2 linked regions of the Oryctolagus cuniculus genome follow. The main gene of each other region encodes a partner of the protein of the gene in region 2 in a complex. Links are inferred from orthologs where the notes say so. Each region holds a gene or a part of one and is shown on either strand. Other genes may lie near its edges.

Region 1 (4,079 bases), on a different chromosome or scaffold from region 2:
CACCGAGCACTCGGGGCAGAACTCCTCACAGGTGCAGTCCTGAGCGGAGAGGGAAGCTGGAAGGAGCCCACGGAGAGCCGGGAAGCCCCACAGCTGCCTGCTCGGCCCGCTCCCTGAGCCGCTGCCTGCGTGCAGGGGGTGCTGCTCTTGTGAGACAGCGCCCAGCCCCTCTGCTCCTTGCCCGCACCTACACCAACCTCTGTGCCTCTGCCCCCCGACCCCGGGGCAGGGGTGGTGGTGGTGCTGTGGAAGCAACAGCCCCTGTGCTGCACAGGCAGGCCCCCTGGTGGCTGCCCCTCTGTGGGACTGGCTCCTGAGACTTCCAGACGGACATAACCAATGGGATCCTCATCAGCACCAAGCCCAAAGACACCTGCCTCGGGCTCTGGACAACATCTCCGCCGTCTCCCTACAACCACGGCGCAGTCCATGCTGGCAGCCAGATGCCAAGGACAAGTCCTGTGGGCCCTTAAGCCCCTACCCGAGCCACACACAGCCACTCTCGCAGCATACCCGGGAGTTCTGCAACTTGTCCACGATGTCGTCGCTCGTGAGAGGAATCAAGCCTGTAAGACACAGACCCGCGCTTTCAAGGCAGCCAGACAGCCATGCCCAAAACGAGAGCCCACAGGCGCCCCGCGGTGGGGAGGCCTCCTGCGGCATCGGCCGCACCGTCCCTTCACCTCCCCCAGAGCAGCACTCACCGAGCCGGTGCGCGATGAACTCGTCATGCAGGACGGAGGAGTTGGCATCGATCTGAACCCAGTCAATGGCTAAAACGAGAAGGGGCGGAGGTGAGACTTCATTCAGCAACCAAATTCCCCAAAGCTCAGGGCAGTGAGTGCCAAGATTCAGGAATGCCCGGGCCGGGCCAGGCCGGGCGGCCGGGGACTGACTGCAGCAGCACCGGGCAGGGCTCAGGCACCACGCAGGCACCGCGGCCCCTGCCCGCCCGGGGGGGAGTTCAGGCAGGGGCTTCCTGGACCACACGGGAACGCCGGCTCAGAGCGCCTCACCGCAGCAGGCACACCTGCTGCCGATTTCTGTGAGAAGCCAATGTATCTGCCACCTGTGCCAGTGCCAAACAGCCAGGAACACAAACGATTCAGCCACTGCGATGAGGGAAACTCACGAACAACGAACAGGCCGACAGCAGGAACCGCGTCTTAGGATGTAACGCTGGCCCACCCAACGAGCATTTCCTCATCACTCAGCCGACACAGGTTACTGCGTCCTGTCAGGAACCAGGCAGCTTACAGAGAAACCGGTCCTTGCCAGCAACGAGCTGGCAGCACGGTGAGGACTGTCTCACACCCACGTGACTTCAACCCCACTTTACTCACTCATTCATACAAACGCCGAAATCAAACAGGGCTGCTGCCCAGCTGCCAGGGGGGGCATGGCCGCTGGGAGCAGAGGTCAGAAGGGGACCAGTCGTCTCAGGCCCCAACCCAGGCCCCTCTGCCTCTTCACGTACCCCCGGACCCCGGCTGCTTCCTGGCCCGCACTTTCCTTCCTCGTGCAGCTCCAAATCCCCCGAGCCTAAAACCCGAGTCCCGCCTGCGCTTCAGACTGAGCCGTGAGCACCCCCGGCCTCTGAACCCCGCTCGGACAAGGCCAGCTCTGACTCCCCTTAGCACAGCGGTCATGCTTTGCTCAGTGTCGGATTTGTGTCTCATCCCCACCGCAGGCTTGGAGAATTCCTTGAGGCCGGGTCTGAGCTGCCTTTGTTTGCCCAGCATGGGTGCGCATTTGCAGAGCTGAGAATGTGAAAAGCGGGGCCCACCGAGGCCCAGCGGGGCTGAGGCGACGGGGGGCGGAGGCGGCGGCTTTAGCAAGCAGCTGGTGTGTGCCGCTTCCTTCAGAGTCTGAACACTTGATGCAGCAGCCACAACATCTCTTTTGCCAAACGCAAACTCACTGAGCTGACACAAAACACCCCTGGTATTTTACACAAGCACAGTCAACGCAGAAAACACTGGGGCACAGAGGCCAGAGGCCCTCCCACCCCTGCGGGCCGCTGCTGCGAGGTCCTCGAGCCCCGTGCACATCCATCAGAATCGCTCACTCACTGGTCCCCGCCGTCGGCCTGGTGAGTAACACCAGCGTCCAATGTCTCCGATGAGAACCAGCAGCACACAGAAGGGTCACGACTTGCCTAAGTTCCACCGAGCGCGCGCGTGGAAACCGCATCGGAGCCCAGGGCAGCCCCTGCCGAACCCGTGCTGCTCCGCGAGGCACACGGCAGGGGGGCCGAAGTGGCCAACGGGGCAGCCGGGCCAGAGGCACCGGGTGCGACCCAGCCTCGGCACCTCCACCCCCAAGCCAGGCCTGGAGGCGGCACAGGTGCGTGGGGCCTTGGGAAGCCGGGGAACCAGTGGTCCCGGTAGGGTGCGGCGGGGCTCGCTTACCTATTATAGGCACCTCCGCGATGAAGACCCTCCGGATAGAATTGGCCACCCTGAAGGACGAGAAAGCGAGAGGCGTGAGGGCGCCGCAGCCCCGACAGGCCGGCCCCGGGCTCCCAAAGCTAAAGCCCTGGCACGGTGGCCGCCGTGGGAGGGCACCCCCACCCTTCGGGCCGGCTCGGCAGGGCCGCCAGCCTCTCCCCTCAGCAGCCTTACGCCAGGTCCGTATTCTCGATGATGAACTTGACGTTCTCGTCAGTGAGCTCGGTGATGCGCACCGTGGGCTGATTAGCGTACGGCATCGCGCCCCTGAGGCCTCCTAGCCGGCCCCTCGCGTCGCCCCCGTCGCGCCTGCGCGGCTCTGTCACCGGAAGCCGGACAGCGCGGCCCCCGCAGCTTCCGCCGAGACGCGCGAGCAGCGCCCCCTGCCGCTGGGAGGCTGCGGCTGCACCATGGCCCGCATTTTCTACTCCCCACCCCACCACCAGTCTCACCCAACTTGCAAGGTAACTTGGCAAGACCTGCATATGCCCTTGAATCAACAATAATACGTCTAAAAATTCATTCTGCCAAGATGTTTGCAGTTGTAAACAAAGCTACAGGGACATTCAAGACAGTACTGTAATAGCAAAAGGTAAACAAGACTGGTCTATGCATAGAGACCTGGTTAAATAGATACATATAGGCATACCATGAGGCCTTTGAGGATGATGTGAATTTGAACACCCATGGGAAACAATGCGTGGCAACTTTCAGCAAAGCATCTCTCAATGATGGTGTATGTCCTTCCCTTCCACCCTCAAGTCCGGGTCGCGCACTTGTGGACACTTCCGTAAAAGGCTCTAGAGACCCTAAAATGGAATGTGGCTGCAGTAGAGTACCCAGGAAGGGGTTCACCTTAGCAGCAGGCGCACCTCTTCCTGAGACACAGGAAGGGCAGGAGGCGGTTCTTGCCTGCCTGTCATCTCAGTAGGTTAAGAATTACGGTCATCTCCTGAGTGTAACATGGATGTGATGAATGCGATGAAACGTGGGTAGCTGCTGCAGGAGCCTCACAGGTATCAGGGAGTAACCAGAGAGGCGCGGGGCCCGGGGAAGGCCCACAGGGATCTGAAATGCGTCCACTTCTGACTCCTCTATCAGTATTTGGCAGACGTGGGCCAGAGCAAAGCAGATGTGCAAGGGAGCCCAGGTGGTGCACAGGCTGAGATTACTGACACTGACGAACCTATCACTAAAATGGTGACAGACAAGAGGGGCCAAGGGAGCAAGGTGTCTGGGGAAGGCCCCACTGCCCCCATTTTACTGATGGGAAGACCTGGTTCAGAGGCAGAGTTGTCCAACCCCCCAGCATGTATTAGGCAGAGCCAGGGCCAGAACTCCCGCTGGGGACATCTATCACAGTCTATATGGAAACAAACTACATAAAAGGAAGCAGCCTCAAACATTTATTATAATTTTTACAGGTTCTGAATACACTAACAATCCCGCAGTGCGTGCTGGAGTGATGCGACACCAGGCCTGGGCCACGCCTCTCAGTGTCCAGCAGGCACCTGTCTCTGGGGAGGCAGCTCTCTGAGGGGTCCCCGGGAACATCTCAGGATGCCTGCAGCGTGCTGGCAGTGAGCTGCCACCATCCGGTGGATACCAGCCTTGACTCAGCCTTAGCAG
Region 2 (3,500 bases):
ATTGCGGCCATCAGAGGAGTGAACCAACAGATGGAAAATCTGTCTCTCCCTAACTCCGCCTTTTAAATAAATAAAACTTAAAAAAAAAAAAAAAAAGCACAGATTTCAATATTATTTAAAAAAATTATAAAGAAAATATCTCCTGGTTATTAACCAATTATTTTTATTATATTTTAAGCCTTTTCTTACCTCAGTCATTAACCACTGTTTCTGCTTGAGTCCAATATCTAAATGCTGGGTTTCATCCAAAATTTCTTCTAAAGTTAGAGGATGTGTGTCTCCTCGCTGATGTCGTGTCTATTGAGGGAAGAAATCATTGTCAGTGTTTTAAAATGCTAGATACACTAAATCAAAGCTACCCATAAATAAATCCTTTCAGGAATATAGAACATGTATTATTTGAGGCAGTAAAATTATACTAATTAAAAGCACTGATGATGAAATCAGATAGAATAAAAAAATCATATAACAAGAAAAAAGCATTTGCAACTCACATCACAAAGAGCTAATCTTAATATTTAAGAGCTCCAAACACCTAACAAGGAAATACCCAAAGAGACGAATCCTCAGATGACAGAAAAAGAAATACAAACGATCTTAAACATATGAAAAGACACTCAATTTTTGCCAAGATATTTCTCACTTATTCGAGCTGAACAATTCCAAATGTCTGCCAATTTTATTAGTGAAGCTAGAGGAAAATGCCTTTCTCAAAGACTACTGATAACAGTATAAACTGGTACAACCCTAGAGAGCAGTTTGGCAGTGTGAATTAACTAAATCCTTTGACATAGCAATCTTATTTCTAGGAATTTACCCTATAAACATGCCAGCACAGCACAAAAAAAGTGATTAAAAGTCATTGCAATATTGTTTGTACAAGAAAAATACTAGAGGGGCCAGCGCTGTGGTGTAGTGGGTTAAGCCACCACCTGCAGTGCCGGCATCCCACATGGGCACGGGTTTGAAACCTGTCTGCTCCACTTCCAATCCGGCTCTCTGCTATGGACTGGGATAGCAGTAGAAGGTGGCCCAAGTCCTTGAGCCCCTGCACTCACATGGGAGACCCGGAGGAAGCTCCGGCCATTGCGGCCAATTGGGGAGTGAACCAGTGGATGGAATACCTTTCTCTCACTCTGCCTCTCCTTCTGTGTTTAACCCTGACTTTCAAATAAATAAATAAATCTTTAAATATATATGTATATTAGAAATAACCCTAGTGGCCATTAACAGACAATTCACTAAGTAAACTGCATCCTACATGCTACTGTTCAGATGTTTAATGCTATGTTCTCTATGTGCTAATTTTTTTTAAAAAGATTTATGTATTTATTTGAAAGGCAGAGTTACACAGAGAAGGAGAGACAGAGAGTGGTCTTGCATCCACTGGTTCACTCCACAATTGGTTGCAATGGCCAGAGCTGTGCCAATCCAAAGCCAGGAACTTCCTCCAGGTTTCCCACACCGGTGCAGAGGCCCAAGGACCTGGGCCATCTTCTACTGCTTTCCCAGGCCATAGCAGAGAGCAAGATCAGAAGTGGAGCAGCCGGGTCTTGAACCATGCCGGCACGGCAGGTGGCGGCTTTACCCACTACGCCACGGCGCCAATTTAAAAAAAAAAAAAAGCATTGCTACTTCACTGGCCGTAGCATACGTTTTCATAATGGCTTGCCTTTTTTTTTTTTTTCTTTATTTTTTGACAGGCAGAGTGGACAGTGAGAGAGAGAGAGAGAGAGAGAAAGGTCTTCCTTTTTCCATTGGTTCACCCTCCAATAGCCGTGCGGCTGGCATGCTGCAGCCGGCGCACCGCACTGATCCGATGGCAGGAGCCAGGTGCGTATCCTGGTCTCCCATGGGGTGCAGGGCACAAGGACTTGGGCCATCCTCCACTGCACTCCCTGGCCACAGCAGAGAGCTGGTCTGGAAGAGGGGCAACCAGGACAGAATCCGGCGCCCCAACCGGGACTAGAACCCGGTGTGCCGGCGCCACAAGGTGGAGGATTAGCCTAGTGAGCAGCGGTGCCTGCGAGCATAATGGCTTGTAATAGGGCTTCTCAACCAGCATTCCACAAAACCCTAAAGTTACAAAAAAAAAAAATCAAGATATTAAGAAATAAATGTTTTAACTTCACAAAGTACTAATGCTTATGGTTAACAGGTCATTACTGAGTTCATGCTAGCAGTTTCATTAGAAGTCTATTAGCAGCAAGCAGTAGCAGCACACAAGTAGGACTATGTTCATGCTGCTAAGATCACCTCTTTTTTTCTGCAAAATGGAGGAGAGCTTTTATAACTGGTAAACCATACACCTCACAAATGGGAACACAGGGGAACGAGAATGTCAGCAATTCCCTTCCAAATTATATCCCCCAACTTCCCCTTACAGTGTCAGTTAACTTAGGGGAGCAATCAAGCTCTACAGGCATAAATAGGAAATCTGACGGAAATTTCACTGATTCAAGTAATGTTCACACACCATGATTCAACTGCTATCTGCTGCTCTTCTGTTGTAAATGCGGCAAAGCACAGATCATGTAGTAAAAAAAAAAAAAAAAAAGTAACCTTCACTGTGAGGTTTTCTTTTTTTTTTTTTTTCTTAACTTTCTCAGTTGTTATTCCCCTTACCTGCTGCCTTCCAAGGTATGCATTAGCAGGAAGCTGGAATAGACAGCAGAGTTGGGACTCAAACCCAGGCATTCTAACATGGATGTCCCAAGCAGCGTCTTAACCACTGTGCCAGATACCTCTATCCCTAGTACTTGTTTCACAAACATGTCTGACCAACCGATGTGATTTTTTTTAAGATGATATTTGTGATGGAAGAGGATTCCAAATCTAGACTGATAAGCAATTTTACTATGGTTAATAATAAAGAACTATAATTTCCCAAGTCATGTTACTATACCAATATAGCAAGAAATACCAAACTGGGCGTACACCACATATGATATAAGCACCCCATTCTGGATTGCTGATTTGAGTACCAGCCACTCTACTTTTAGTTTAGCTCCCTGCTAATAATGTCTGGGAAGGCAGTGGAAAATGGCCCAAGTGCTTGGGTCCCTGCTACCCATCTGGGATACCAGGATGGAATTCCTGCCTCCTGGCTTCAGCCTGGCCACAGAAGACATTTCAGGAATGAACCAATGGATGAAAGATCTCTCCCCACCATCCACCCCACCCAGCCTCTGCTGCTCAACCTTTCAACTACATAAATCGTTTTAAAAAAAAAAAAAAAGAGGGAAGGGCTGGCGCTGTGGCTAGCAAGCTGAGCCTCTGTCTGCGGAGCAGATATCACATATGGCCACCCGTTCATGTCCCGGCTGCCCCTCCTCCGACCCAGTTCTCTGCTGCAGTGGAAGATGGCCCAAGTGCTTGAGCTCCTGCACCCAGGTGGGAGACCTAGAAGAATCTCACGGCCTTGGATCGGTCCAGAGATAGTGGTTGCAGCCATTTGAGAAATGAACCAGCAGTTAGAAGACCTATCTCTGTCTCTCCCT

The links. The genes of interacting proteins can lie anywhere in the genome.
Region 1: GTF2E2 (region 2) and POLR2C share a complex: the UniProt entries of both Homo sapiens proteins name them as parts of the TBP-based Pol II pre-initiation complex. The link is inferred for Oryctolagus cuniculus from reciprocal best matches to the Homo sapiens genes GTF2E2 and POLR2C.

Annotation. Positions count from the first base shown.
Region 1 is NC_091449.1:41,014,813-41,018,891, reverse strand, and holds the start of POLR2C (DNA-directed RNA polymerase II subunit RPB3), read right to left. Parts: upstream 2,801-4,079; 5' UTR 2,711-2,800; coding exon 2,625-2,710; intron 2,462-2,624; coding exon 2,412-2,461; intron 774-2,411; coding exon 705-773; intron 567-704; coding exon 514-566; intron 40-513; coding exon 1-39. UniProt on the Homo sapiens protein: Core component of RNA polymerase II (Pol II), a DNA-dependent RNA polymerase which synthesizes mRNA precursors and many functional non-coding RNAs using the four ribonucleoside triphosphates as substrates.
Region 2 is NC_091433.1:80,641,711-80,645,210, forward strand, and holds part of GTF2E2 (transcription initiation factor IIE subunit beta), read right to left. Parts: intron 298-3,500; coding exon 190-297; intron 1-189. UniProt on the Homo sapiens protein: Recruits TFIIH to the initiation complex and stimulates the RNA polymerase II C-terminal domain kinase and DNA-dependent ATPase activities of TFIIH. Both TFIIH and TFIIE are required for promoter clearance by RNA polymerase.